4 linked regions of the Pelodiscus sinensis genome follow. The protein of the gene in region 1 purifies or fractionates together with the protein of each later gene. This does not show direct contact. Links are inferred from orthologs where the notes say so. Each region holds a gene or a part of one and is shown on either strand. Other genes may lie near its edges. The genes, in order: PARP1, DNA repair protein XRCC1, CTCF and TCF7L2.

Region 1 (7,546 bases):
AAGCCATAGAAGGAGCTGGTGGCTGCCCTACTCCCATGGCTGGCCTGCCTCTTCCCCCATGGTGGGGGGAGATCAACCCCAGTCTTCCCCCAGCTGGCTAGATGCCACCCCAGCCTTGGCAGGGGGAGGTGTAGTCGCACGCTCTGCACCCCCTCTGTGTACGGGTCTGATTGGGAAGCAGAGAATAAGGTAGAAAGGAATGGCAAGAGTAAAGTGAATAAAGTGAGGGCAAGAGAGGAAACAGAGCAGACACCAAAACAGATGGAGGAAAAGATACCTAGCTATATTGTGGTAGAAAGAAAAGAAGTGAAGAGAAAAGGAAGGAAGAAAAATATAAAGGCAGTTTAATAAATTGAGGTTTTGTGTTTTACAGAGCTAAATACCTACGTTACAACAAACAGCTCTATTTTGGGAGGGGAAAAAAAGGCATGCAGGAAACCTTTGCCATTCATGGGGGAACCTCCTATATTTAATGGAAACAACTAGAAGAGTATCAGTGCCTCTTGGGAAGCAGAAGGCTGCAAGCCAGTGGTGAATAAACTCAGTGGGAGTTGGACAGATTTTTCAAGCCCTACCCTAACGAGAAGAGATCTCCCTCCTGTGCTACTTTCACTCATAGGCAGAGCTAGACAAATAATGCAATCTACTCGCCAACCCAGAAGAGCTGGGTTCGGGCAATCTGCGCATGTGCAGATAGCCGGACAGCGCGGCTGGCAAGCAGGGCTCGCCGCAGTTCGGCGAGCCCTGCTCATAGAGATGTAGGGATCAGAACACAACCACACTAGGAATAGTTGGCACTTGGACATTATCTGAAAAGTCCCCTATTGAGGAATTTGTGAAGTGCTCAAGACTCTGGAATGTTATCTTATTTGGCTGAAGCAAAGGCAACAGCAACAGAAATTAGACCTCTCTCCATAAAGGGTCTGTGGTAGATGTTAAATTTCAATAGCTAATCGAGTAGTCGATGGAATTTCGACTACTTGATTAGTCGATAAGGGGGGCCGCCTGCGACTTGTGCATTTCAAAGGCAGAGGCACAGCTGGGAACCCTCGCGAGCATGGACTGTTTCGATCCCCACTTGCACCATTTCCCCACTGCGCATGGTGGGGGAGGGAGGGAGAGGGGAGAAGTGACTAGACATGTAGTGACTCTTCCCCATTAGGGATGTAAGTGATCACTACCGCAGGCAAGCCTAGGGTTATGTAAAATCCTGTTTAATCAATTAACTGATATGTCGTTTAAGAAGGTATTAATTCCAAGGACAGAAGAATGCCTCTGCACCAGGTTTAATCATGGATGTGGCCAAACTATAATTATGACACACGTGTTCCTGTGTGGACTGAAAAAAAAAGAAAAGAAAAAGAGTAATCATAACCACGTTTTAACCTTGGTAAATTCCTAGGTTTGTGTACACTAGCCTTCTGTGCAGCTTTGCTGTCTTGTCAGACCTGGCAACAAATGCATCTAACCAGAGGGAAAAATAGAGCAAGGTGTGAGAATTCACTGATAAGGTGGTAAAGCAGATTTCTTTACAAATGCAAAGATCAAAAAAGGGGAGAGAGGGAATGCTACTTGCCACTAAAAATAGGTTAAACTCATCTACAGACAGGAAGGAAGATTTGTGTATCAAACACAAATAGCATTGTCCAAAACACATCTTAAACTGCCCAGGAAAATGCCTTCAAAGTTCCTCAGCAATAATGGAAATTGAGTTCACACTTCAACTAAATGCCTCATTTTGACCTCCAGCCCTCCCCCATCTGCAATTATTTGTCTCCACATACAGGTCTCAAAGCTGCAGACTGAGGTAAACAGTTTTTTTTAAATTGTATCCTTGGGTATATATGGTCGAGACTATTTTCTTCCACTATTTGATCTGAGGAAGTGGGTCTGGCCCACAAAAGCTCATCGTCTAATAAACCATCTTGTTAGTCTTTAAAGTGCTACATAGTCCTGTATTTTGTTTGAGGTAAACAGAGCATTCCAATGTACTTTACAAATGATAAGCAATTCACAAAAAATATACTGAGGAGTAAATGGCCAATATTCCCCAGTGAGGAAGTGAATGTAGTTAGAGTCCAGTATCACATGGACTGAGATTCTATCAGGGATAGAATTTATACTGCTTTTCGTCAACTCTAAATAAATCATGCCTTCCTGTGAAAATCAGCTAAAAATTACACAACTAATTACTGTCAACCAAATAGAGAGAAATTAAAATGGAAGCCATCTAGCACATAACTTAAGGTTTTCTTTGCTTTCTGCCATCATCTAACCACAGCATCAAGCAAGCTGAGACAACGCAATGACTTGGGAATGATGACTCTGCCTTCTGCCTTTCATCTCGCATTCTCGCTCATTTCAAGGTATGGACTTCGAATGCCCCCTAGTCAGGGCAGCCGGAGATCACGTCACTGCTTCTGACTGATGTGCACCGATCACACCATCTTCTGCGGAAACAGCGATCCCCTCCAGCTTGCAAGAGCAGCCCCCCGCTCGCGACTCGGAACCCCGCTCAAGTCCGGCTGACCCCAGCCCGCCGCGCCGCGCGAGCCCCAGAGGCTGCAGCCGCGGAGCGCGAGCCGCGCTGCAAACCGAGAGGGATGAATGGGGCGGACGCTCGGCCCGGGGCGCCGAGGGGAAGGCGGCACGTGGCCGCTGCCGGCCTAGCCGCAGGGAGCTTGGGGGCGGTGCCGGCTCCCGGCCCACGCGGTACCTGCACCATGATGGCCAGGCGCAGCGAGTCCTTGGCGATGCTCTCCCCGCATTTCTTGCACGAGGCGCGGCCGCTCTTGGCGTACTCGGCCCGGTACAGCTTGTCCGCCGGCTCCGCCATGGCGAGCGCGGGCAGGGGACGCGCGGGAGCCGGCGGCAGCGAGCGCAGGCACCCGCCGCGCTAGCCGAGCGCCACGCAATCCACCCGGGCTCAGCCCCGCCGCTCGAGCCGCTGTGCAGCGCTCGACTGAGCCCCCTGGCCGGGCTCGGCGCGTGTCCCGGCTCGCTGCGCTGGAGCGATGGGAAGAAGGACGCAGCTTGGGGCGCGCGGGAAGGTGTCACATGGCAGCGCCTGCTCGGGCGCGCAGTGTAGGGGGCGGGGGCAGAGCGGAGCCCCGCCCCTTGGCCGCGTTGCTGCTGCAGCTGCCAGTCCCAGCCAGCGGGGCTGCTTAGAGTGGCTGCAGGCCGGGGCTGTGTGGTCTGCTGGCCTCTAGCCGCACAGCGCTCCCCTCCCCCCCCCCGTTCCTTGGCCGCCTGCTCGCTTCAAGGCGCTAGAACGTGTCCCTTGAAGTTAGAGCTGGGTGAGGCTGTTTGTACCCTCAGATCTAGCCCCTGCTTACAGCTGGGCTGATATAACCGGGCCAGAGATAAAACTCTCTGGCTCCAGGGGGTAAAACTCACAGGTGGAGGAAAATTCCACTGTTTTCCACAGAGCTCCTCCCACACCTTACCAGTCCCCCTCTGTCCAGGATCCACTTCATGGCTCTGTGCCTACATGAGTTGCTTTAGGGCAGGGGTCTCCAACCTTTTTAAGCAGAAAAATCATTTGAATTTAAGTGCAATCCAAGATTTACCTCAAATATAATTACTCTTGCCCCAACTTTCTCCCCCTTTATTTACGCACACCCAATCCGTGGCCCCACAAAGTCGCGAGACCTCCTCGTCAACCTCCTCCTGGCCTTAGCGAAAGCTGCCATTTATAATAGCAGGAGGAGGAAGTTAGACAAGGGGGTTCTCTGCAACTGTGGGGCCTATTTCTGCTCCTCCCTCGTGTCATGAATCCGGGCAGAGTTCCTCTGGGCGGCGTCCACTGGCTCCATCGACAGCTTTGAGGAGCAGTGGGCGCTGTCCGGGGTTCTCTGCTCGGTGTCCCCATCCGGCTCCCTTATTTTGAACCTCTAGCCCGCACTTCTTGATCCTTTAGTCATTATTTGTCCCAAGCAATCAGTTGGACATGGGTCCAGTGTCCCTCCCATAAGGTTGGGGAGGGGCTTTTAGAGCCACCATCCCATGATTTCAAATAGGCCCCCTCCATTCTCTGAGGCCCCACCCCTGCTCCATCCTCCCTCTCTTGCCCATCCTCACTCACTTTCATCAGGCTGGGGCAGAGAGTTGGGGTGCAGGTTCTGGTCTTGGATTAAGGGATCTGGAGCCACTCTTGGAGCAGGCAGCTGGGATGTAGGAGGGGTTCTAAGTGCAGGCTCTGAGGGGTGCTTGGGGTGCAGGGGAAGGTTCATGACCAATGTAGGAGTTCAGGATGTGGGCTCCACCTGGGCTTTGCATACCTAGGTGGCTCCTGATTGGTGATGTAGTGACCTACTCCTTAAAATAGCCAGCAAATTCCATCCCAAGTCTTGTTGTGCCCACTCTTTGCTTTGTGGAGAAAGGATACAGAGTGAGAGGGGACACCCTGATATCATCACTCCTCATCTTCCTCCCCTGCCCTGCCCAGAAAGTAGGTGGCTCCCCAGTGGGAGAGGCAGGAGATGAGCAGCAGTGTGAGGAGGGGCAGCTGAAGTGCTGGCACTTGATAGCCTCTTGGCCAAACCAGGCAGGATCACCTGTCAGAGGCTCCAAGAGCTAAGATTTACTGGTTGGTGACCACTGCTTTAGGGAATCAACACCCCTTTCCCAGCATGGGCCCAATGGCAACTAGCTAGTTCCTGATTCCTCTGAAAGGGGAAATTCTTCACTGTTGAGGGAACCGCAAAAACAGTTAATTCAGTCTCTGTGAAACTCATCACCACCAGACAGCAAGCTGGATGGACTGCGAGGCTACATCTACATTGCACAGTTATTTCAGAATAAGCTGTTCTGGAATAGTTATTCCAAAATAGCTTATTTCAAAATAGCATGTCTATACCGCAGGGAAGCCTAAAAATTAGTCCAAGGCAGGCTTCCCTAATGTAGACGTGCTATCTCAATTTAGAGCTCCAGAAGGAATAACTTAGAATGGCCCTGATAAGGGCCTATTTCATAATTGCAGCATTGGAGCATTTACACACACATTATTGCAATATAGCTATTTCAGAATAGGCGTTATTCTTCGTAGAATGAGTTTTACAGAAGTCAGAATATTTCAAAATAATTTTGAAATAGAATTGCTGTGTAGACACTCACATAGTTATTCCGAAATAACTTTGCTGTGTAGATACACACAAAGCAGCTGCTTTTGCGGAAAAACTTGCCAGTTGTCTATACTGGCTGCTTGAATGTCTGCAAGAACACTGACTTGCTACTGTATGAAATCAGTGTTTCTTGCAGAAATACTATGCTGCGCCCATTCGGGCAAAAGTCCTTTTGCGCAAAGTTTTTGACGAAAGGGCCAGTGTAGACAGCTCAGATTTGTTTTGCGCAAAAAAGCCCCGATCACGAAAAAGCGCGTCTAGATTGGCATGGAAGCTTTTCCACAAAAAGTGCTTTTGCGGAAAAGCGTCCGTGCCAATCTAGATGCTCTTTTCCTCAAATGCTTTTAACGGAAAACTTTTCTGTTAAAAGCATTTGCGGAAAATCATGCCAGTCTAGACACAGCCTGAGTGTTTCCAGGGATCAGGTGTGACCCATGCATTTACACATTCTCAGCTTCCTTTCCCTGATATGGGCCCTGAACCTGCAGAGAGTCCCCAGTGGTGGAGTATTGATGTTAATCTCCATAGAGTTCAGGGGAGATCTGCAGGTAATGAACCACTTCTGTCCTTTTATGTCAAGAGCATAATCTGACGCTGGGGGGGGGGGGGGGGGAATATGATTGTAAGGTTGAGGAAATTAGGTGGTGTACCACAATCCTTCCTTTCGTGCCTGCATTTTCTTACAGGCCTGGATGCTTTAGGCAGCCATTTATGCTTTTTGCTTCTTATTATTCTTTTGTTATTCTCAAAGGCTATGTCTACACTGGCAGGTTTTTGCACAAGAACAGTTGTTCTTGTGCAAGAAGCCGCAGAGCATCCACACTGCCCACCCTCTCTTGCGGAAGAAGATTTACAGTACAGCGTGGTAAGAGAGGCCTTCTTGTGCAAGAACTACGCTCTTTTTTAACAGGTATAAGCCCTCTTGCGCAGGGGCTCTTGTGCAAGAGGGCAGTGTGGACACTCGACAGCGGTTTCTTGCGCAAGAAAGCTCTATGGCTAAAATGGCCATCGGAGCTTTCTTGCTCAAGAGAGTGTCCACACTGCCATGGGCGCTCTTGTGCAAAAGCATAGCTCGCACATGGCAGTGTGGACGTTTTCTTGCGCAAGACTTCTTGCATAAGAACCCTTGCCTAAGATGTTACTACGCAAAAAGCCGCCAGTGTAGACATAGCCAAAGAGTTATCTGTTTGCTCAAGATGGTACAGTGTAGGAATGCACTGTTGACTTTCAACAAGTTTTGGGACAGCTCCCAAGGCCATGCACCTGGTATGGGAGTGCAGGAGGGCTTGGGAAGGTCACATAGATATCTGTGCTGAATGTTTCCAACCTGATAATGCTACTTACTTGGCCTAGGAAAATATACAAAGTATCAAAAAGCTAATTATTGGATGTGGGGAAAATATGCAATGTATCAACGATCTTGTTAGGTTCTCAAAACAACAGGGGTAATTCCTGTAGATCCAACAGTATATAAGTACCAGGGATATTCCTAACATTAGAACCTCGGCGTAGACCAAAGCCACAGAAGGTGCTATGTACTGGCCACTGGGGTCTGTCTGCTGTCCTTCTTCAGGGGGTTCCCGGCACATAGGCATTGCATTTTATTCTGAGGTTTGCTTAGGCTTAATGAGGATTGTATTTTCTTAATAAGTATTGTACTTTATTCTAAATTTGCTTCATTGTACTTTACTCTAATATTAAGCATTGTATTTTACCCTAATATTTGCTTGGTAAAATCTTTAAGCCTTCACCCAATTTGTGTGCTTATTGCCTGTTTGTGTGTGTGTGTGCGCGCATGTGCCAGGCAAAAATCACAGAAAAATCACTTGTGTTTAGATGTGAATGCACAAAAATGTCACAAAAAAGTCCTATACTCTGTGCATTATTGGGAAGCTGACTTGTGTGTGTAGATCGGGCAAGTATTAGTGTCCATTTACAATTCTGTGGTTCTGTAATGAATCCATAATCTTCCTTAGTTCTGGGCATAGGTTAGAATCTTAGAATTCTCCCTAATTAGCAAGGTTGCTGAAGCTCCCAGGTTTGATCCCAGTTGACAGCTATCTGTACAATGTGGAACTATGGTTAACTAGGTCAGTATATAACTTATGTAACTTGTAAATACCACTCTGATTAAGATCATTGCAAAAGAACCCTACTGACATGAACTTACTGGGGATTGTGGTATTCAAAAAAATAAAATAAAATTGAATATTTCAGAATTACAATAGGTACAGTGTATAATTTTATGTACATAATGAATGGTAACATCTTACAGTTTTATAGGAGCATAGTGTACCTGTAGTCACTGGTGAAATAATACAGCTATATTCTGAGTGTATATACCTTCTGTTCACTGCCAAAACCATATGTGTAGCTTGTTGATTAAGGGATACAGTTTTCCCTCCACCAGGAAAAATGATTCA
Region 2 (7,850 bases), on another chromosome or scaffold:
TTTGATGGGGTTTCATTGTTTTCGGGCGGCGAGTGGAACTTCACGAAGGACAGCCCATAAGCCAAGGTCTACAGGAGATCAGCCAGAAAGAAAGTGACTCACTGGCAGAGCTGGAGAGAGAATCCAGAAGTCCTGGCTCACAGCCCCTGTCCCCGGTCTAACCACTAGACCTCATCCTTCCTCCACTTACCCACTGTGTCCACTTTCACACTGTTATCATACATTTGGTACAAAGTCTGCCTCGGGAAGTATCATGTGAAAACTCATAATCTGCAGAACATCATTGTCCTGTTAAAATGTGGAACAACTCTGTGTATAAAGCTATAACCTTCTACTCTGAAGTTACTGTGGGGAATACCCCCAGACTACCTCCTGGGTAGACAGAGACCAGCTCAATACCCCACCAGGCATTACGTGCTCTGGCAGCCAGTCTCCAACAGGGGAAATGCGTGAATAAGAAATGTTCATTGTATACAAGAGAGAGTTCAAGCCGCATGTACATAAGATGAGAGGCAATGGGGGAGAAGGATACCAGGGGCTTCTACCTCACCTCTCCCATTTCATGTTATCAGTGAACGCTGGATGGATTGAACCAAAGGGGAGAGTCCCAGCTTGAAAGGAAATTCAGCCTGCGAAAGAGAAAAGCCCTCCTTGCTCTCCAGTCACTGAGCATGGTAAAGGAAGGTCTGGCTTGTGTCTTTCTCTCTGATAATTTTTCTTTGGACCCAGAGGCAGTCGGGTTCGAGTGTCCCAGCGACACAGCTACTCCCCAGTCCGGACTGTCCCTGGAGCACGTCACCCCTGCCCCACCTCAGCAGGGTGTAGTGAAAATGGCCACTGATCCGCACTGCCCCTTTGGCTCACCCCCGCGGAATCCCTTCCACCCTGGCCAGCGTGCGAGGGGCCCCACCTTGGTGTAGGGCTGAGTGCAGACAATTTTCACTCGGTCCCATTTCTTCTCAGCCGCGGCCTTCACCAGCTTGTCTGGGCCAAACATCCGGACCCGGTTGAGGTTGGTGCCGGCCTTGCTCTCCGAGGGCGACATGAAGGACGAGGTGACCAGCAGCACCTGGGGAGGAGGGACCCTGGTGTAGAGAAGGCTCCCTAACCCTCCGGTGTCCCCCGCCCCAAATCCCGTCACCACCCCAGTCCAAAGGGACCAAGACCTCTGGGAACATTCCCGCACACTCTCTGGCACGGGGACAGGGCACACTCATCCCTACACACTCTCCTTCACGGAGACAGGAGACACACACGTTCCTGCACATTGTCTCGCACGGGGACAGGGGACACACATTCCTGCACATTGTCTCGCACGGGGACAGGGGACACACATTCCTGCACATTGTCTCGCACGGGGACAGGGGACACACACATTCCTGCACATTGTCTCGCACGGGGACAGGGGACACACATTCCTGCACATTGTCTCGCACGGGGACAGGAGACACACACATTCCTGCACATTGTCTCGCACGGGGACAGGAGACACACACATTCCTGCACATTGTCTCGCACGGGGACAGGAGACACACACATTCCTGCACATTGTCTCGCACGGGGACAGGAGACACACACATTCCTGCACATTGTCTCGCACGGGGACAGGAGACACACACATTCCTGCACATTGTCTCGCACGGGGACAGGAGACACACACATTCCTGCACATTGTCTCGCACGGGGACAGGAGACACACACATTCCTGCACATTGTCTCGCACGGGGACAGGGGACACACACACTTTCCCGCATTCTTTCACAGACGGATGAGAGTGGCCGATGGACCTGACCCAACCCCCCAGGGGTCGCTGAACCCGATCCACCCTCGGCCCTCCCGCCCCCCACCCAGGCCTGGGGGCGCCCGGAGCCCAGCACGGGCGGCTCCCTCCTCTCACCTCGTAGTCCTGCTCGCTGGGCGAGGCGGAGCTGCCGGCCAGCACCTCCACGAAGGCCGAGCCCTCGTTGCCCACGTCGATGCTGTGGATCCGCTCCTCCTTCTCGAACTGCCGCCGGGGAGGGGACAGTCACGGCCGGGGACGAGCCCCCCCCAGAGCCCAGGGGTCCGGGCTCCCCGCCCCTCCCCCCCCCAGAGCCCAGGGGTCCGGGCTCCCCGCTCCTCCCCCCCCCCAGAGCCCAAGGGGTCCGGGCTCCCCGCCCCTCCCCCCCCCAGAGCCCAGGGGTCCGGGCTCCCCGCCCCTCCCCCCCCCAGAGCCCAGGGGTCCGGGCTCCCCCCCCCCACCCCCCCCCCAGAGCCCAGGGGTCCGGGCTCCCCCCCCCACCCCCCTCCAGAGCCCAGGGGTCCGGGCTCCCCCCCCCAGAGCCCAGGGGTCCGGGCTCCCCGCCCCTCCCCCCCCCAGAGCCCAGGGGTCCGGGCTCCCCGCCCCTCCCCCCCCCCAGAGCCCAGGGGTCCGGGCTCCCCGCCCCTCCCCCCCCCAGAGCCCAGGGGTCCGGGCTCCCCGCCCCTCCCCCCCCCCAGAGCCCAGGGGTCCGGGCTCCCCGCCCCTCCCCCCCCCCCAGAGCCCAGGGGTCCGGGCTCCCCGCCCCTCCCCCCCCCCAGAGCCCAGGGGTCCGGGCGCCCCGCCCCCACCTGCAGGATGACTGACAGCTGCTTCTCGCCGGGCTGCGCCGCCCGCCACTTGCGGTAGGTGTCGCCCTTGAGCAGGTTCTCGGCGCAGTGAGTCTGGGGGGGGGGGAGACTGTCAGGGGGCCGCGCACCCCCGCGCGGAATGGACTCTCCCGCCCTGCTCCCCCGCGCTCCACGGGGAATGCCCCTCCCGCCTCCCCGGGACCCCCCCACTCCCTAATGGTCTCTCCCAGCCCCCCCCCCGGAATGGTCTGCCCCGCACCGGGTCGGCGCTGCTCGCGGACACCACATGACGGATCCCGATCTCCGGCATCGCCGCGCTCCGCGCCGCCCCGACCCGGGAGCAAAACTCCGCCGCCCGCCGGAAGCAGAACCGCTCTGCGCCTCCGGCTCTGTGTGCGCCCGGTCCTCCGAGCGCTCTGCGCAGGCGCCGCTGCGCAGCGAGAGGCTATGCGCATGCGCAGCGCCCGGCGTCGCCTGAAGCGGCGCGCGCCGGTGGCCCCTTCGCGCCTCTTTCCCGCGTTCCCCGCTCGATCGCGGCGCATGCGCCTTGCCACCGGTGCTGCCCCCCCTGGCGGCACAGAAGGAAAGTCGCCTCTAAGGCCGTCATGACGTCATGGAGCACGTGCCCCCTTCCTCTCTGCCGGGGCTCGGGGCGATCGCTGGTGCCGCGCTTCGTGCGCACGCGAGCTCACCAACAGCTCACCACAACCGTGCACACGTGCAAATCACAGCTCGGTCACCGAGCCCCTGCTCACCAGAACCCTACCAGCTGGGGCCTGTAGTCACCCTCTTGGCTGCCAGGTTTGCACAAGGACAGGGGACACGCTCACACCTGTGCACACTCGCACGGGGACAGGGCGCACACATTCCTGCACACTCTCCTGCACGGGGACACACTCACACCTGTGCACACTCTCGCACGGGGACAGGGCGCACACATTCCTGCACACTCTCCTGCACGGGGACACACTCACACCTGTGCACACTCTCGCACGGGGACAGGGCGCACACATTCCTGCACACTCTCCTGCACGGGGACACGCTCACACCTGTGCACACTCTCGCACGGGGACAGGGCGCACACATTCCTGCACACTCTCCTGCACAGGGAAAGGGCACACACATTCCTATACACTCTCTCACATAGGGACAGGGGACACACTCATTCCTATACACTCTCTTGCAAGGGGACAGGGCACACCCACACTTTCCCACATTCTCTCGCACAGGGGTGAGTGTGGCCAATCAGCCTGACCCAACCCACCCTGCCCAGTGTTCTGCACCCCCCATGCCTGGCTGGGATGCCAGGATGGACCCGCCTCTCCTGGTACCAAGTGCTGCGCCTTCTTGAGGCAGCGGGTGGGGGGCAGGCAGGGGCAGGGTCATACCAGGAGGCCAGCAGGAGCCCTTTCGGCACCATGCAGGAGGGACGGGAGCTGCATCCATTTTTAAGAAAAAATTGGGACTCCCCTGGGAGGGCTTAAATATGGCGCTGTCCCTTTAAAAAGGGTCACCCTAATTAGCACCCAGGCCTGCCCCTCCAGCCAGGCATCAGAGCCCGGGAGAGCCCGCGAGGGGGGCCCGGGGCTGTCACTCCAGCTTCAGCCTTTGCTGCCGTTCTGCCTGCCTGTCCCGGGCCTCTCTGGGGCCTGGGCCAGAAACTCTCTGTGCTGCACAGGCCGGCCCCCAGCCAGCCCAGCCAGGCCTCCCTCAGCACCCTGGGCCCCGGGCCTCCGCCAGGGATCAGAGCTGGGAGAGAACCCAGGAGTCCTGGCTCCCGGGTCCCCTCTAACCATTAGCCCCCACTCCCCACAGATCCAACCCTGGAGTCCCAGCCCCCGCGGGGCGTGGGACAGGGTTCCCGGCCCTGGGCTGAGCCCACCATAGTCTGTAACAATCCCTGCCCCACACTCGGTTCCTAGGGCCTCCAGCAGATGCCCCCCATGCTGAACTGCCCCCCCCCCCGTGCTGAAATGCCAGCCAGGGGGGCCCTGGCTTGAGCTGCCCCAGGGCCGAGACCCACCGGGCCTGGGAGAAGATGTCGTGCCGAGCTGGGGCATTCGCTGCACTTGGGCAGGGCGGGAGGCTGGCGGGGGGGGTTCTCCAGCCCCCGCCGCTGTCCCCAGCCCGGCCAGCTCCCCGTGTCACCTAGAGCCGCCTGCGGCAGCTACCACTTACCATCTGCCCCCCTGCCCTGGGGGCAGGGATCAGCCACAGCGCAGACGCGGGGGCCAGAGAGGTTTGGCTGATCCCCTCCGGGCCCAGGGCCAGACCCCCAAGAGGCTGCTCTCCGTCCCACCAGACAGCTGGCCGGGCCCCCTCACACTCACATGAGGCCACCTGCCCCCCACCCTGACACCAGCATCACCCGGGAGTGGGGTGGTCCCAAGGTGCCCATTGCTCCAGACCCCCCCTTTGGTCCCCAACACTGCGCCCTCCTTGCGGCTGGGTCTGTGCTCCAGCCCCCCAGGAGGTTCCCCCATGTGGGGCCGTGAACCCCCCTCCTGCCACTCCTGGGTGGGGGCAATTCTGGTTCCTTCCCTGCAGCCAGTCCCCAATAAATCAGTGCGGGAAACAAAAGGCCATTGTTTGACAGCTGGCCAGCCTGTTCCAACCACTGACCCCTGCTGGCCTCCCAGGGCTGGGACAGAAACCTGGGCGCCCCGCCAGCCCCTCTAACCACTAGACCCCACTGCTTTCCCAGATGTGGGGTAAGAACCCAGGAGTCCTGGTTCCCTGCCTGCCCCCTCTCACCGCTCAACACCACTGCTCTCCAGGATCTGGGGCTAGAACGCAGGAGTCCTGGCCCCCACCGCCTCTCGCTCTAACCACTAGGCCCCAGTCCCCACCCAGAGTGGACCCCTCCTTTGGGCAGTGATACAAGCAGCATCGTGTGGCCTCTCAGGGCTCCTTACTGCCCTGGGACCGCGCCATTCTGGGCCCAGCCTGGGGTGGGGGTAGGTGCCCCAGAGCCTCTTCGGAGGGAGTTTCCCCCTAACCCGGCTCCGGGGGCTCTGGCCCGGCCTGCAGGAGCCTGTCTGTGCCCGTGGCAGCGCCTCGCACGCCCGGGGTTTGCGGACCAGCCGGCCGGCAGCCCGTGCTCCAGCGTGGGAATCTTGCTGGTGGCTGTTGAGCGTGTGGGGTGCTCGGAGCCCGTCTCCCTGGCATTGGGGCTGTGTCCCCCCTAGAGCTCAGACCCTGCCCACATTGGGCACCGGCCGGCCGTGTCCCTGCTGGGCTCCCCCCTCCGGGAACCCTGCGCTAGGGGCAGAAGGCCCGTGGGGGGGGTCTGGGCTGGGGCAACGGGGGATGAGGATGCTCTCAGGCGCCCCATGTCCCAGCCCCGGCCTCTCCCCGCCCCAGATCCCCCCGGCCTGGCAGGGGCGGCCCTGGGCTGTGGTGCCACGTCCCCAGGCGGGTCCGGCTGGCAGGAAAGGCAGACGTGGCCACCTGTGAGAGGGCCAGGCCAGGTAATTGATGGCCCCGCAGCCGGATCCCTCCAGGAACTGGCTGTTCCCAGGCCCCGCAGCTATAAATCCCCACGGATGCAGGGCTGGCTGCATCCAACGGTCAGCTGCCCTCCTGCCCGGCGCTCGGCTCGGCACCATGGCCGCCCGCCTCGCCCTCTGCCTGCTCGCGGCGCTGCTGGCCACCGGTGAGTGGGAGTCTGGCGCCAACCACCGCCCCCACCCTTGGGGCTGCCCTCCCTCTAACCACTGCCCCCCGCTGCCCCAGGGGCTGCCCCCACGCTCACCACTGCCCCCCGCTGCCCCAGCTCTAACCACTACCCCTCACTGCCCTCGGCACTGCCCCCGCTGCCCTCGGCACTGCCCCCGCTGCCCTTGGCACTGCCCCTGCTCTAACCACTGCCCCCGCTGCCCTCGGCACTGCCCCTGCTCTAACCACTGCCCCTCACTGCCCTCAGCACTGCCCCTGCTCTAACCACTGCCCCCGCTGCCCTCGGCACTGCCCCTGCTCTAACCACTGCCCCTGCTGCCCTCGGCACTGCCCCTGCTCTAACCACTGCCCCCGCTGCCCTCGGCACTGCCCCTGCTCTAACCACTGCCCCCGCTGCCCTCGGCACTGCCCCTGCTCTAACCACTGCCCCCCGCTGACTCCCCAGAGCTCCCTCTCTAACCACTACCCCCCGCTGCCCTCGGCACTGGCCCTGCTCTAACCACTGCCCCCCGCTGACTCCCCAGAGCTCCCTCTCTAACCACTACCCCCCCCATTGCCCCCATAGAGCCAGGGAGAGAACCCAGGCCTTCTGGCAGCTCCATTTCACTCACCCTCCTGCTCTAACCATTAGACTCCACTCCCTAACCAAGGAACCCAGGAGTCCTGGCTCCCAGAACAGCTGCTGCAAGCCAGGCTCTGCTAGTGCCTGGAAGGAGCGCTGCGGGAGACCAGGCCAGGCTGCCGCACTGGAATGATCTGGGGGGGGGGGGGAGAAGTTGGCGACCCTACAGGTTACCCCCCCAACCCCCTCCCTCCCCAGGATGCTGCCTTCAGTGCGAACGCTGCACCAGCGCTGACAAGGCGTGCTCCGGAGAGCCGCAGGACTGCGAGCCCTCCCACACCTCCTGCCTCATCCTGACCTCCGAGACCACAGTCGGTGAGTGGCTGCGTGTCCGCCAGCCTGGTGGGGAGGGGCTGGGCACAGCTGCTAGCCAGCCAGCGGGGTCCCCAGCACGCCGGGCGCTGCCCAGACCCCGGCTGAGATCGGGGCCCTGTCGTGCGAGGTGCTCTGGCATCAACCTGTGGAACTCCTCGCCAGGGGATGTTGTGACGGCCAGGACTTTAACAGAGTTCCAAAGAGAGCGAGATAAATTCATGGAGGTTGGGTCCATCCATGGCTATTAGCCTGGGCTGGTATCCCCCTGGGGCCCCCGGGCAGCCTTCGCGGGGGGCTGGGTCCCGGCTCTGCCCGTCCAGCCCCAGGGATTCTTCTTCCCGTCTCGCCCGCAGGCAAGGAGCGGAAAATCGGCACGTACAAGGGCTGCACGGAGGCCAAGTTCTGCCCCCCGCGCTCCTCCAGCCTCAGCTCCGCCTTCGGCCTGCGCGTGCGGAGCGCCGCCAAGTGCTGCCAGCGCGACCTGTGCAACAAGGGGGCCTTGAAGTGTACGAACCAGCCCCCTGGCCGGCCCTGCGCTAACCACTGCACCCCGCTGCCCTCCTGGGACCAGGCCCAGAGCCCAGGCATCCTGGCGCCCAGCCCCTACGCTAACCACTGCACCCCGCTGCCCTCCTGGGACCGGGCC
Region 3 (7,499 bases), on another chromosome or scaffold:
TGGGGTTAAACTGCAGCAGGGGAGGTTTAGGTTGGACATTAGGAAAAAGTTCCTGTCAGGGTGGTTAGGCACTGGAATAAATTGCCTAGGGAGGTTGTAGAATCTCCATCTGGAGATACTTAAGAGTAGATTAGATAAATGTCTATCAGGGATAGTCTAGACAGTACTGGGTCCTGCCATGGGGGCAGGGGACTGGACTCGATGACTTTGAGGTCCCTTCCAGTCTCTCTCTGAAAGTATGGATCTCTCACTGTTTTCTGTTGTGCTCAATGTTATGATTATATCATAGATGCTCATGTAGTATATTGTGAGCACCCCATCTCAGAGTGGACATCACAATTACTGGATCTGTGGTCTGCCACAGGAGGATGGAGGATAGGTCCATCGATGGCTATTAGCCAGGATGGGTAGGAATGGTATCCCTAGCCTCTGTTTGTCAGAATTTGGGAATGGGTGACAGGAGAGGGTTCACTTGATGATTCCCTGTTCTGTCCAATCCCTCTGGGGGCACCTAGCATTGGCCACTGTCAGAAGACTGGATATTGGGCTAGATGGACCTTTGGTCTGACCCAGTATGTCTGCTCTTATGTGCCATGGAAAGAAATAACTCCAGGTGACTTTTGGTATTCATGGAGCAGCTGCACAGCATGGACTGTTGCTTTTGGATTCAGTATGCAAGCAGAGAATGGTGGAATTGCCTCATGCAGCCTTGGGATGACAAGCAGTGGCTGCAGAACTTTCAGATGGAAAAAGTCAATCTTCAAGCAAGTATGCATTGAGCTCACCGCAGCACTGGGGCACAAGAACATCAAAATGAGAGCTTCCCTCTTGGAGAAGCACATGATGATCACTGGAGCTCCAAATCCAGATGCTGCTTGTTGGTTACATATCAGATTGGAGTTGTAAAGTCAACCGTTGAGCAGTAGTAACACAAGTGCAGGGCCATTAATCACATCCTGCTACAAAGACTGTGACTCCTGGCAGTGTGCATGAAATATTGGATGGCTTTGTGGTAATGGGATTCCTTAGCTGCAGCGGGGCAATAGATGGCATGTGTATTCCAATTTTGGCCCCAGACAATCTTATGATGAAGTACCTCCGTAGAAAGGAGTATTTCTCTGCTATTGCAGGCACTTGTGGATAACTATGGGTGTTTCACTGACGTCATTGCTGGATGGTGCACACGTCTTCAGGAACAGTGGCCTCAACTGAAAACTCCAAGCAGGGACTTTTTTCCCGACCTAGATGTTGAAATGCCCCTAGTCACTCAGATGCAGGGTATCCCATTCCCAGGACTTGTGAAATCTTTCACAGGAAACCTGGACAGCAGGAAGAGATGCATCCACAGTAGGTAGAGCACGTGCAGAATAATCATGTGCCTTTGGTGGAGTAAAACCATGCTGGCGCTGCGTTTGTGGCAGGTTAGACCTAAATGAGGAAAATCTTCCTGGGGTCATAGCCAGTGTTCCCACTAATCTGGGCAGCAGCAACTTCACAGGTGATTAATGAGCTCCATCCTGTCAGTCTCAGGGCTCCGTGCATGGAGCTGACTGACTGGGCAGAACTGATTAATCACTTGTGAAGCTGTGCTGCCCTGCAGTTTAGAGGGAACACTGGTCATAGCAGTCTGCTGTGAGCTTCATCATATTTGAGACTAAAAGTAAAACATTTCTCGAGGGGGCACAAAGGCAGTGTTCCCTCTAATTTTTCCCATGCGTGTGCAGAGTTAATTATATGTGCACCAGTATGGAGGTGATGTGCGATAGATGCTGTCACATAGTGTGGGGGAGTCATCAGGCCCTGCACCCCCATCTGCAGTCATATGTGAGTCTCGGACAGCAAATAGAACGGAAGGTGTATTCGTTGATGGGGACACAGCGTAGCACAGACTTGTTACAGGAACCGGGAGCAATCAGTATAATCCATCTTGTGGATGAGGGGTCTAGAGCCCTCTGGGCCCCTGCCCAGCCCCCCAAGCCAGCTAGGCTCTCTTCTCCCTGAGCCAGCTGAAAAACTAACTCTTGCACCCATCAACTGACCCCAGCCCTCCAGGTAGCTCCGCCTCCTCCTTTGTCCTGCTTCCAGGACCCCAGATATTATCTGACTATCACTGGTTGCATCTTCCTTCTAGGGTCAGGTGCCAGGCTGTCCTGGGCCATTCCTTCCGTGCCTTCTCTCAAGAGTTCTCACCCAAAGATCCCATCCCGTTCCGTGCAGGTGTGGTGTCCACACACAGACGCACTCACTACAGAGCAGTCTAGGACAGTAGGAATCGCATCATAATAAATCGAACAGTGAATACAAAACCAGAGTGTACGTCACAGATGTATCGCCTCCACATTGGTGCATATAACAAAATTCACGTGGTGGGGATGGGACTGGGGTTTGAAGGATGGGGGCAGGGGAGGCTGAGGCAGAAGGTTGGGTTATAGGGGTATGTGTGGGGTGAGGGCTCCAGCGGGGAGTGAGAGCTCTGGGCTGGAGCAAGAGATGAGCCGTTTGGTGTGCAGGTTGTCCCAGGGCTGCAGCAGGGAGAAAGGACTCACCCCAGCTCTGTCTCCCCACAGCAGCTCCTGGGCTGGTGCTAGGGAAAGGGGGTCTCTCCCCATTGCAGCCCTGAGAGTCTGGCTGCGTGGCCCTTGGTAGGTGTTGTACAGTTACACCGCTTAAAGCGAGCTTATCTTGGCTGCTGAATTTGAGCAGCCAGATACCAGGGCTGTTCTAAGAGGGAGGAATTCCAATCTGAGAGGGGCCTTAAGGCAGTATTTTGACAATGAGCACAACTAATGTGTTTTTCCATACAGCACTCTGCCATGCTTTGTTAAATTGCCACCTTTCATGAAAGTAGTAATGATTCTGATCAGGATTTGTAGTCAGTAAGTGATCAAACTGCCACTGTATTACTACTAGCAGCGAGCATCCCATGTAAGAGACAAAGCTGGCTTGTGTTTCAAAGAGTTTGATTTTATTAAATACCCAATTAAAGCACACTGAAGGGTTGGTGGAAAGGGAGATTAGAGCGCAGGGTAGTAGAGGGTCTCATAACTTTGGGTAAGTTCAGCTGTCATTTGGAAACTGTCCGAATGGTGGAGTAAACAGCATACAGAGACAAGTCAGGAAGTTGCGAGGAATGTGAGAGCAGTTTGAGGGGGACATGAATGTCAGTTCTGTATGTGTTCTGCCTGGTGCATGATTAGGGACTTCAGCATCTCTGCTTGTTCCTCCATCACTTGGTTCATCCACTTCTGGCCCTTTACAATGCATTCCTCACTCTTCTTTCAGTTCTGCCTTTCTGTTTTAAAATTCTCCTTCAGTGTCTCTCTCCACTCTCTGCATGGGTAGATGGCTTAAGGGGATTACTGCAAGTGATCAGGGACAATATTGTAAATTCTACAGCCAATCTGTGGTCATTGAAGCCGATACCTCACTCCTAAGGCATCAGCAAGATTGCATCTTCTGGACGTGTGGCTCAAACTTGCTCCTTATACTGCTGGTATGTGTGCTGCTTTAGACCCCGCACAAGTGATTGGTACAGGAAAACTCCCTACGATAGGGGAAGGAACAAAGGTGCTCTGCCAAGGGACCTGTGGCAGAGGATTGGCGAGTACCCCCAGGAAAACTTCTTAGATCTCTGTGGAGGAGTCCTATGAAATCATGATGTGCATTAATGCATTGTTCTACCACGTTGCTTAGTACTACAGGAAATACGGAGCACACTCAAACATAGCTAACCTTGTACATTTCTATCCTGTCACCCACTTCAGGAGTATACAGAGCAAAGGGCAGCTCTGCCTCTCTTAAAACCAAGCAACATCAACTCAAAAATATCTTTTACCAGGGTTCTCTTCTGCATCGTGCACACCATAGACAGATGGCTGGGACTAGCTAGACCCCTCCAGAATAGAAAAAGATCCTGATCCAGCGTGCTGCCCGACAGCCCTGACGTGCTCCAGATCATAATCCAGCTTGATCTCCTTATTCACAACTTCGTCCTCATGGTTGAGTCCACTTTCCACCGCCTCCAAAGTATTCACAGGTCTCTTGGCAGTGAAGGTGGGGTCTCCACCAAAGATGGTGTCCAGATCCACATAGAAGCAGCAGGTCGCCAGTACAGCACCAGAGTAATGGTTTGCTTCCCTTGCCTTCGGGTATGTTTGCCTCACCTCCTTTATCTTCACACGGCACTGATGTGCATCCCGTTCATAGCCCATATCCAAGAAACCACGAGAAATCTGCTTGTAGGTATCAAAGTTTCTACAGCTGGAAAGGAGCTGAGACTGCACATGCCAGCAGACCCAACAACTGAGGCGTGCTCCACGTGGGAGAGTATTTGCTGCCTGGAGCTCCTGGAGCTGCCATGGCCAGCTGGAAAGATGTGCTGTAAGCTCTCCAAGCTGAGAAAACAGGATGTGGAATTTCAAAAATTCACAGACATTAAAGAGGAAGGGGCAGATGCCTTTGTACCTGGGTGCAGGGTCAGGATAGGCATTATGGGACATCTGGCCTCAAGAAGGCGTCCCATAGTTTCCCATCATGACTACACTGCTGTCCAGCAATCAGGTACACAGGTATATGCCCTTCCCTTTTAAAGCCCTGGAAATTTTTGAAATTCCATTTCCTGTTTGCTCAGCATGGAGAGATCACCTGATGCCTGCCCAGCTGCTCCATATGCTATACATGCTTCTGCCCAGAGTGCCCAGGAGATGGTGGATTGCCTGGGTCTGTGGGGAGAGGAGTCTGTGGGCTCAGTGCAAATCCAGCTGAAGAAACATTGTTATTCCTCTTCCTTAGTTCACATCGCAGGCAGGCTGGGTCTGACCTCATTCAGAGAAAATCGCAATAGGCGCATTTCCAGTGTGCTATTACTACCCAGACAGCACTCTTTGCACTCCAGTATGAACCTGGAAAAAACCTCAGACAGAGCACACTGCAACACACATTACTATGGCTCAATATTAAGACAGCCTTTCAGGCCTCCCTGAGCTATATAGCTCTGTGGGCTTCTCTTATAGCCCTGGTATCTGTCTGCTCAAAATCAACAGATAACTGTTTCACTTCTGCTTTCAACCTCAGCAGATACTTTCCCCCTTTTCTTCACAACTATTGTGAAGCGCACGGCAGGCATCTCTAATCTTTGGGATTTTTTTCACTGAGATCTAATCTTGTGAGGAGGAGTAGATGAAGTTCTTGCTGCTGTGGAGGTGACCAGCATACAGCTTCATCAGCCATAGGAGTAAGAGAGGCTGGGTCTCCCAGGGTCACTGCTGGCATTTCAACATCTACAATGGTTATCCTCTCATCTGTAAATGAAGTCCCTGAGTGGCGCTTTCAGAACAGACCTGTGTTCTTAATTACATGTATTTTCCATGACTCTCTTCCACTTGCGTTGGCATAACTTTCCTGGTGATCCACCAGCACTTGCAGTGACATAGAGCAGTGTCCCTTTCTGTTGCTGTTCTCTGTGGCAGGGTTGTCTGGTACCAAAATAGGAATATGTTTGCCATCTATTGCCCCACTGCAGTTTGGGAACTGTGTTGCTGCAAAGCCATCCACTACGTCCTGCACGTTGCCCAGAATCATGGTCCTTCACAATAGGATGTGATTAATGCCCTGCATACTTGCATCACAGCAACTCCCAGCATGGATTTCCCAAATCCAGTTCCTGACTAATAGCAACCTGGCATTGCAAGCTTCCACACAGCCATTGCCTCTTGCTTCTCCACTGTCCATGCCACTCTCATTTTGGTGTCACTGTGCCAAAGTTCTGGGTCGAGCTCTGCACAGACTTCCAGGGATATAGCCTTGCACATTCAAAAGTTCTGCAGCCACTGCTGGTTGTCCCATACCCACATAACAGTGTAATCCCATCAGTCAATGCTTGTTTCCCAGGACCAGAATTAGGGCTCCACTGTCTGCAGCTGCTCCATGAAAGCGAACAGCCGAAAATTGTTTCCTTCTGTGTCCCACAGCAAGGCAGCCTCCAAGGAATCATCTTGTTCTGCCCGGCTCCTCTGGTGGCTTTCCAAATACTGCAGATCAGGCTCAGCGTGCTCACAATGCCCGCCCAGTAGTACAGAGCTATGGAGTATCCATGCTTCTCACAGAGTTGGCAGACGTGCAGATTAACAGCACATTTGAAAAGAAGCTCAAAACATTACAGGAAGCAGATAAAATTATGGGATGAAGAATACTGCCTCGTGGGATGTTGAAACCATGTTTCCAGTCGTGCTGCACAACTTGTTTGCCCCCATGAGGCACTGCAAACCCTGCGCTAGATGGTGATGAGTTCAGTGGGATAGCTACCCATGGTGCACTGCTCTGTCAGTGCTACTAGTGAGACTGTGCACCATCGACACAAGAAGCATAGTGTGGATGTGCAGAACGATGTAATTACTGCTGCAGCTGTACATGGAGGTAATTTAAATTGACTTAATTTTGTAGTGTACACTTTGCCTTAGTCAATTTCTCAGCCGCTGCTTTCCTGAAAAGAGGTGGTAGATAAGTGACTGCCTGTGATGTTTGTAGTAAAGAAAAAGGAGCTGAAGAAATACATGCGTCTTGGTTTCCTTCTTGATTAGTAAGTACAGATGGAAAAGTGGCTTCCGCTGACAGATGCAGTGATACATTACTGGAGCTTGTGGACATACAGATTTATAGGACTTTGTGCAAACGTGTTCTACCCCAATGCGTTAGAGTGACTGCAACTTCTGAGCACAAACAGTTTAACTATAATCCTAGGGCCCTTATTCGGTTTCTTCTTTTGATCCTTATCCCGTCTTCCTTATCATGCTGCCTTGCTCCATTCACTCCTCTCACTAGAGTGATGTCTGTCAGTATCGCTTATCCTTCTGTGTCCCTACCCAAATCCCCGGGCTAATTATGATTCTCAGCCAGGGGCCCCGGTCCCCTAGGGGATCACAAGCTGGTTTCAGGTATTCACCAAAATAGGGAGTAGGGCTGGCATTAGACTGGCTTAGGCCCAGGACAGAAAGCAGAAGCGCAAGTCCCACCACTCAGCCCTGCGCTTTGCTGGACACCCAGTAGCACGAAGCCCCAGGCAGTTGTATTGTCTGTTGCCCCTTGACACCAGCCCGCAATGGTAATCTACTGGATTTGCAGAAAACCAGTTGGTGTGGGCTGTGGGATTTGTATAGCATGTTGGGGGGCATCAGAATAGGAATGTAAATCTCGTTTAAATGGTTATCCAGTTAAACACATTGTTAAACATACTGGTTAACCAATTAAAAGGGAGCAGTCTCCACACTCACTGCTGGCCTGGAGCGCCTCCCCCTGCCTGCTGCAGGCAGGGGCTACTCCAGCCTGGACAGAGCAGCCGCTGCCTGCTCCCCTCCTCTCCCCCTGACACAGGCAGCAGCTGCTCTGGTGCCGCTGTCAGAGCAGCCCCTACCTGTGGACTTAGGCTGCTTCAGCCCCAAAGCTAGTCCAACCCCTGCCTGCAGCGGCCTCCCTGTGGGGCTGGAGCAGCCTCCTGCCCGTGG
Region 4 (7,851 bases), on another chromosome or scaffold:
ACCTGATGTTTAATATTTTAATGCTTTGAAACACTTGTAGATCTGATAAACTGGGATCGTCCAAGACTTAAGCCATTACCACAGATTCAACATCTACTGAACAGTAGATCTATTATTTCAAATTGCTCTCTCAGGTTACAAAAAAACGTGTAAATAGATACATGGTAATGGCGGGGGACCCTTCAGATTTAAAAGCACCTAAAGAATGCTAACAGACAACTGCTGGGCAAGTGTAAACAAACACTTCTTAACATTCTGTATTCCCCATGGGTTTACCATTCATAATTTTTAAAAAAACCCTCCTTTTAAAAAAATTAGTCTTGATATGTGCTACATCGGGGCATATAGCAGTTAGTGATAGATACTCCAAGACATCAAAGGAGAAACAGCAGCCAAGCCTACCCCATCACAGCCCAAAGTTTAATAGAACTCCACTATCTGAACTACAATTACTAACCCTCCCTCCTCCACCAGACACACACACACACACACACACACACACACACACACACTTACTCTTTTCCCAAGAAAATCCAACCCTTCACACTGACACACACATACATATTTGCAGCAAGATTATTATTAAGATTATTATTTGCAGCAAGACTACACTTCTATGTGCGAAGGTGTTTAATGTATTCATTTTTAAAGACAGTTTCTGTTTATTGTATCACTGTTAGTCTGTGATCTGCTCTAAGCCCTTCCAGGACTTATTTTAGCAAGACACACAAATAAAGAACTCCTTTCAGGTCTTTCTCCCCTTGCAAAATAAGAGCAACGTGTTTAGGTCGGGGTAAGGAAGGGCTTTTCCTTGTCACCGCTAAAGAGATGGATGCATCTCCCTGATCAAGGTCTGTGCATGTGTAAAATAATCAAGGATGTTAGTGTGTAGTTCAGTGTCAACCGCCACCACCTCAAAACGTGTAAAAACTTAAACCACACTTGCCATAGACAGAGAGTGAAACTGCTGAACTCAAGTGAAAAGGCCAGAAAACTTGCAATGGACTTTACAAAAAAGTTTCTAGTCTTTACAAAACAGGGTAAGAGAGAAACTATAGAACTTGGTGACTTGCCAATACAGCACACTGGTATCCCAGACAGCTTATGCAGCAAGGAAGGGGTTAAGGGGGAGGTTAAAAAAGGGAGGGGAAGAGATCAAGACGCCACTGAAGAGGGCAGAAGAAAACAGCTCATTCACCAGGGAAAATAAATAGTTTTGTGGAAATCAGATTTGCGATCTAGCTGATGAGAAAAGAAACCAAAACACAGCCCGGGGTTTTTAGATTGTGGGATTTTTTTTAAGAATCGAAATCCACGGGGTGAAAAGACCTAGTCGCAAAACTGAAAGTAAAAAAGGGGAAAAATATGGCGAAGTGTAAACAAATCCCATTCTGCAAAAGCCATAAAAGTTTGGAAAGTTTCTAACGATGGGGGAGGGGGGCATGCAGGAGGCATCGGGGGACTCAGAGCTGGGGGGGGGGGGAAGAGGAAGGAAATGTACAATCAGAGCAGCAAACGTTTAAAAAACACACATCGGTGGATATGCGCCACTTACTGTTCGTGCTGTCGGCGAGAGCGATCCATTGGGGAGGTACGGGCTGGTCAGGTCGGGGATCATTATAAAAGGATAACCAGGGTATGGTGGGCCCTTAAACAACCCTCCATCTTGCCTTTTCGCAGCTAACATGGCGGGGCAGAAAGAGAGAGAAAGGGGGTGAAAAGGGGGGCAAACAAAAGAGGACACATAAAAAAAAAAACTTTGTTTGGAAAGTGCCCCCCCCCCTGCCCGCCTACCCCTCCTGCATTGAAAAGTTACGCGGCGGGCGCAGCTGGGTTTCGGCAGGTCGCCCCGCAGAGCTGGGAGGTTTTTTTGGGGGGGGTACTCACCTTCTTCTAAACTTTCTCTCGATTTATCTCGGAAAGTTTCGGACCTAGGCGGAGGCCGCCTCTCCGCCTGGCAGCACCGGGGAGAGGGGGGTACAAGAAAGGTGGAGGGGGGGGGGAGAGAAAAGAGAGAGAAACATAGTTACAAGTTGGTGCCATGGAGGAAACTTAACAAACATTCTCGCAACATTGCAACACACCACGCTTCCCCCCACACGCGCGCCCTACTTGCTACATCCAGTGGCAAAGCAAACCCCTTCTGCCCCCCACCTGTGTGTGCCCCCAAACCCACGGAAGGGAGGGGGCATTTGGGGGCTTTCCCTCCTTACCTCCGAGTCTGAGGAGCTGTTTTGATTCGTTTCTGATTCATTGACCAGGGAGGACTTGACATCAGCTAAATCCCGCTCGGCCGAGGAGTGGTCGGAGATCTTCTCCTCTTGCTCCCCTTCGTCTTTAAAAGAGATCAGTTCGTCGTTCGCCCCCAAATCGTCCCCTCCACCGCCGTTCAGCTGTGGCATTTTCCTCCCGGCTCACCCCACCAGCAGCAATTTTGCAAAGAGGGAAAGGGGAGAGAGGGGGAAAAAGGGGGGGGGGGAAAGAAAGGAAAAAGTTTGCAAAAAAAAAAAAAGTCCAAGGTGAATGGGTTTTTTTCCTTCTCTTCTTCTCTCTTTCCGCCTGGGGAGGGGAAAAAAAGCAGGAGGAGGAGGGGAGAAAAATGTCTTTCCTTTGCTCTTTGCACCAGTGACTTTGGGTTTCTTCTTCTTCTTCTGGATTTTTTTCCCCCTCTCTCTCTCTCTCTCTTTCTTTCTTCCAGGGAGCGGATCAGCGTGCGCACGGACGCACAGCAAATGGGGGAATAATAATAATTACAAAAAAAAAACAGACGGGGGGGAGGGGAATTTAAAAAAAAATACAAACAACCCCAACAAGAAGTCAGCTGGCTGGGGGGGCAGCGGCTGCCGATCTAGGGAGCCCGTGCCGCTCGGGTTTGAGTGAGTTGAAGTTAGACTGAGAGCTTTTCAGTTCAAAGGCGGCGCTGATTGACAGATAGAAAAAGGGGAATCGAAATCCGGAGGAACGGAGAAGTCTGGGATTCGGGATTATTGACAGGGAGAGAGAAGCACACTAGGCACTTAATGAGATGCAGGAGGGGGCGGGGGCTCCCCGGGTGACGTGTGCATAAATAAACAGGTTTGGGGAATGAGCGAGGGGAGAAAGAGAAGGAAGGGGGGTGGGGGAGTGGAGAAACTAACAATGATCCTTTTTGGCAAGAGCCAGAGAGAGAGAGAGAGAGAGAGTGTTAGGGTGGGGGAAAAGGGAAAGGATTTAAGGGAGACAATGGAGGGGGAGGAGGGAATCCATCAGTTGTAAGGGAATGACCCAAAGGAAAACAAAACACATGCAGGAGGGGGAGAGAAGGCAAAAAATTGCACTGTACTTCAGAAGTCAATTTGCACAAGAAGGAAAAAATATATATACAGGAGTTAGGAAAAGAGGGAAAGATGCCTGCCCCTCTGCCTGCTGTTTGCAAAGCACTAACTTTTGCAGAGCAGAGACGATTAAATAGATAGATTTGTATGCATAAGGAAAGTGCAATTTCTCAAACCTCCCCTGTTTCAGTATTTTTATTATGTGTGGTTAGGTTTTGGGGTTGCTTTGTTAAACCGTTAAGATTTTTTTATGGCCAATGGTTGTAGGTAAGAAACTAAAATAATAATGTCATAAAAGCTCTTTTCTTACCTAGCGTTTTCTTTTTACATTTATTGTTGTTATTATAGTTCTGTTGGATTAAAATAGGCAAGATAACTCTTTAGTGTTCAGATTTCTCAAAAAAAAAAAACTTTTTGTCAGACATATTATTTTTACCGTAATGGGGGGAAATGGGACGAAAGGGAATGTGATTGATGCATTAATTAGTAAGAGAGGGGGGAGATCAAGAACTATGTGACTTTAGAGGTGAAAAGTTTTGGTGCTGATGTTGGAAGCATCACAACAGGAAAATTAAAATGAAAGTGGCCAGATGCACTGGAATAAATAGGACCACATGAATGGTCCCACAGCCGGCTAGCAAATGAGTTACCAAATGTAGATAATTGAAGGGGGGATTTTGACCACCAAGACACAAGGAAAGGGTATTCAGTTCAAGGATTTGAGGCAGCAGTTTAAAAAAAAAAGTCACTACCCAAACAGCAGACTTTGCACAGCAACAAAATGGGGAGCAGAATAATGCAGATGCAAGAAATGACATCTGGTACCTGAATATAATGTGTTGAAGAGAAGAGGAAAACAAATTGATCTGCTAGTAGTGACAAATTTTAACAATGGTCTAGTCAATGGGAAACTTTAACATGGGCAAGGAACAAAGGAGGGAGGGGGGCACAGAGACAGTAAATTCAATGGGAATTAGTAAATTGCCTAATGGAAAATGGTGTTAGAAAGCAAGGAGACGGGCTGTACTAAATAATCCAAACATTCCCCAAGAAATCTAACCTGCTGCTCCTACTAAGGGCCATTCAGCACGTAGGATTTTCAAAACAAAGTCAATTTGTCATGCAATATTTAGAGAGTTTGGGGATTTCAGCTAAACTGTCTTCTCTGAAAAGAATAATAAAAATAATAATACAGAGATCGACAAGGCTAACAAATTCTCAGGCATTAAAAAGTTCACATAGAAATTTGCATACTAAAGGGAAAGATGCAGACAAAATAGAAATAAAAAAATCACTGCAACTTACAACTTTAATATTAATCAGTAAAGCAGAAATAGAGTGAAAGGAAGCATGAAAAGAAGTAAAACAAATGTGTACATTTAATCAGACAGGATTGCATAGGACACAAAGAACAGGGCTAATTAGTCTCAGCAGGTAGGGACTAACCTTCAGACTTCATAAATAAATAAGTCTGTGAACAATGTCTAAATGGGAGTATGGAGACAGAAAAGGGATTATTTCAAGACACCAAGTAAAAACATGAAGAATGAAATACTTCACTGTTAAATCAATGTACAAATGGATTTAACAGTTTCTTTTTCTTCTGGTCTTTTGACTAACTTGTTTTTACTTTTAGACATTTTCAAAATAGCTATGGTTGGTCACACACTTCTCAATTATCCCTGGCTATGTAATGGCTACATTCTGCAAGTTGTTTACTTGCAAAAAACCACAGTAACAAATATACTCAATTTTGTTTGCCTTTTGATTTTTTAAAATCTTTTTAACTCTGGTGTGAGGTGAGATTAGAAACACCACGCAACCTGAACTTCTGCTTACTTTATAGGACCAAGCATTAGAAGATGATCCAATTTAACAAAAAAACTCTTTTGTTTTAAAGGGATTTTTATGATCTGGTCTGGATTTTTGGCAAACGTTCTTCCCTAACAATTTTGCACTGTAATTAGTGCCATTGCTTGTTTAACATCTAGAGTGTGGTTGGTTTCCTACTAGATACAGGACAATCCCCGCCTCAGGGAGCTAACAAATAAAGGACCTGATTCTGTAAACAGTTATGCATATGCATAAGCTTATTTATGGATTCCTCATGTAAGTAATACTGCTGATGTTCCTAAACGGTTGTAAGATCAGGCGCTAAAGTTTTCGGCCCTGATCCTGCACTGGGAATCCAGGTGCACAGGTTGTCCCTAGCAAATCCTGAGACAAGTGTTAGGTCCCAATCCTGGAACATATTCTTCGCTGCACCTGCATGGCTGGATCTTTGCACCTGCACAGAATCCCCATGTGGTCAAAGGGACCTCATACAACGTTCATCACAGGATCAGGGCTTTAGTTATCTTAACCCTATGCATTTTCCTATGACACATGTTTATCCTTTCAAATGTCAATATTTAAAAAAAAAAACAATGGCAAGTCACCGTGCTGTCATTTATTAGAATGCCATTATTTAATTAAGGAATCAGAGTTACTCCTAGTAGCATACACATCAGATCTTATTTATTTCCTGGTTTCCAATTTTAAGAGTTCCAAATATACAAATGCCTTTGGGGAAATGAAATCCCAAAGGGTCAAGAGCACCTGTTAGCTGGAGGGTACCCAAGATAAAAAATGTGTAACTTGCAACAGCCAGAGTAATATAATATTCAGAGGGAAAAAAGTCAAGCTAATCCACTGTGTGAAACATGTGATTGATTGTTTTGATACCCAATTTGAAGCAACAGGTGGTGTGTCAAAGGCAGGTGCTGAGAGTTTGGCCTTCCATAGACATCAGTTATCCTGGCAGAGTTGTCCTGTGCCTGGCAAAGTTGTCTAGATCATCACAGCTCTCAGCCTTGGCACAGTACTCCCTACATTGGGCTTGCTTTGGTAAACAATGGGGAGAAGGTCAAATTAGGGAATTTGTATTGTTTATAGTGAGTATTTTATATTCATGGAATGCCTTTCAACCCAAAAGATTCCGCAGCAGGAACCAACAGTACTAGTCCATGAAAAGCAGAGGGAGGGGGATACACAATCCACAACAGAGAGGAAAGGGAACATTTTGGTCCAGGCTAGTAGGGTAAACACCTTCTTACATGAAAAATTATTTTGAATAATTCGTGTCCCCTCAGCAGCCATGTCTTTAATAGAGAAATATGGTTTACTAATTACCATTTGGACTGAGTAGAACACTGCTTTACATGTGGGACAGGACCTTTGCCTCTAAGGTCTTCTCCAAATGCCCCTCTACTGTAGACTTGCAAGCACAGAACAGAACTCTACCCATCTATATCGGAAGCACAGAATGGCTTGAGTTGACCATGCTAGGATTTTAATCTATTGTTTGAGGGACTTTGAGTGTTTCAAAGGTGACCACGTGGAGCTCTGTCTGTGCTGGCATCCTCAACGTTACTGCCATGTATGCAGCTCCACCAACCTTAGCAAGGGTGGGAAATGTTTCTAGGATAGACAAGGCTACAGAGCCAAAAGATAGAAGTCTGGCTTTTCTAGATAATTAGAGAACTGGCCCAAAAATATGTGGAAGTATAAATAATCTACAAAATAGGGGAATGTCTAAAACACAAAGTTATAGTTCCACTGTGAGATTTTATGTTTGCTTTATCTTTTGTGAGGGCTAACCTGATGGTGGTTTGGTCCTTCGATATTTCCTTTACTTTGCAGCTTGTCAGAGGGAACCTGAGAAATCAGACACCCAGAGACCTTTTACTTACAACTATGAGATCTAACTCCTTTAAATCCATATTCTGTTTCACAAGTCATGTCTATGAAGCAGTAGGAATATTCTGGTTTTTGGCCTAAAGTATTGCTATGCATCTTGATTTGGACAGAGATAATTTTACCAAACTGGTTAAGTGTATGCATGCAGAATGTCATCACATGTTATCAGGAGGTGATATAAAAAATTATAGGTAGGGTGTGTGGGGGGGTGATATCAAGAATTAGAGTGTGTGTGTGTGTGTGAGAGAGAGAGAGAGGTTCCTGAAACACAGAATCTTCCATAACTATACCATTTTTATTGACAGCATGTCTTTTAACCCTAATAGTAATGGAAGAATCCCAATAAATGAAACATTTACTGAATAACTTGCCTTATTTTCGGGTGGTGTCAGATTTCTTTCTAGCTGTCTCTAGAAGATGTTTTTAGCCTAATTTGCTCCCTGGAAATTTCACTCACCAGAGTTATACATCTATGACGTTTTATTGCCTGAAGCCAAGTCTGAATAAGAACTTTCTTAAGGTATACTTACCCTAATGCCAGTCTACAAGAATTGGGCTGCTTTAGTTTGATTTATTTGTGCAACGCTGATAGATGGAGTGCTTATAGGCTTTCGGCCATCATTGTAGAATTGGCCTGTTTCTAAATATTAAAGGAAAAAGAAATAAAATTCAAGAAAACCAGTAACATCCATATTCAATTACTGTAAAGGTGCTTAGTTAAATTAATTGTCCTGTATACTTATTTATCTATATTTTCCAAACAAATTAACACAAATAGAAATTTCATGTGTTTATTTTT

Evidence for each region.
Region 2: the proteins of PARP1 (region 1) and DNA repair protein XRCC1 purify together in Homo sapiens (affinity purification with western blotting; 9 studies listed by BioGRID and IntAct, with this or other methods). This does not show direct contact. The link is inferred for Pelodiscus sinensis from reciprocal best matches to the Homo sapiens genes PARP1 and XRCC1.
Region 3: the proteins of PARP1 (region 1) and CTCF purify together in Homo sapiens (affinity purification with mass spectrometry; 6 studies listed by BioGRID and IntAct, with this or other methods). This does not show direct contact. The link is inferred for Pelodiscus sinensis from reciprocal best matches to the Homo sapiens genes PARP1 and CTCF.
Region 4: the proteins of PARP1 (region 1) and TCF7L2 purify together in Homo sapiens (affinity purification with mass spectrometry; 3 studies listed by BioGRID and IntAct, with this or other methods). This does not show direct contact. The link is inferred for Pelodiscus sinensis from reciprocal best matches to the Homo sapiens genes PARP1 and TCF7L2.

What each region holds. Positions count from the first base shown.
Region 1 is NC_134713.1:157,460,440-157,467,985, forward strand, and holds the start of PARP1 (poly [ADP-ribose] polymerase 1), read right to left. Parts: upstream 3,006-7,546; 5' UTR 2,837-3,005; coding exon 2,717-2,836; intron 1-2,716. UniProt on the Homo sapiens protein: Poly-ADP-ribosyltransferase that mediates poly-ADP-ribosylation of proteins and plays a key role in DNA repair.
Region 2 is NC_134734.1:123,895-131,744, reverse strand, and holds the start of DNA repair protein XRCC1, read right to left. Parts: upstream 3,009-7,850; 5' UTR 2,900-3,008; coding exon 2,849-2,899; intron 2,683-2,848; coding exon 2,590-2,682; intron 2,006-2,589; coding exon 1,898-2,005; intron 1,070-1,897; coding exon 911-1,069; intron 69-910; coding exon 1-68. Other genes in the region: phospholipase A2 inhibitor and Ly6/PLAUR domain-containing protein-like, read left to right, coding at 6,196-6,244, 7,088-7,204, 7,558-7,710. UniProt on the Homo sapiens protein: Scaffold protein involved in DNA single-strand break repair by mediating the assembly of DNA break repair protein complexes. Negatively regulates ADP-ribosyltransferase activity of PARP1 during base-excision repair in order to prevent excessive PARP1 activity.
Region 3 is NC_134722.1:48,651,646-48,659,144, forward strand, and holds the start of CTCF (transcriptional repressor CTCF), read left to right. Parts: upstream 1-4,488; 5' UTR 4,489-6,408; coding exon 6,409-6,414; intron 6,415-7,499.
Region 4 is NC_134718.1:65,218,585-65,226,435, forward strand, and holds the start of TCF7L2 (transcription factor 7-like 2), read right to left. Parts: upstream 3,015-7,851; 5' UTR 2,403-3,014; coding exon 2,214-2,402; intron 1,955-2,213; coding exon 1,888-1,954; intron 1,681-1,887; coding exon 1,556-1,680; intron 1-1,555. Other genes in the region: VTI1A (vesicle transport through interaction with t-SNAREs homolog 1A), read right to left, coding at 7,654-7,692. UniProt on the Homo sapiens protein: Participates in the Wnt signaling pathway and modulates MYC expression by binding to its promoter in a sequence-specific manner. Acts as a repressor in the absence of CTNNB1, and as activator in its presence.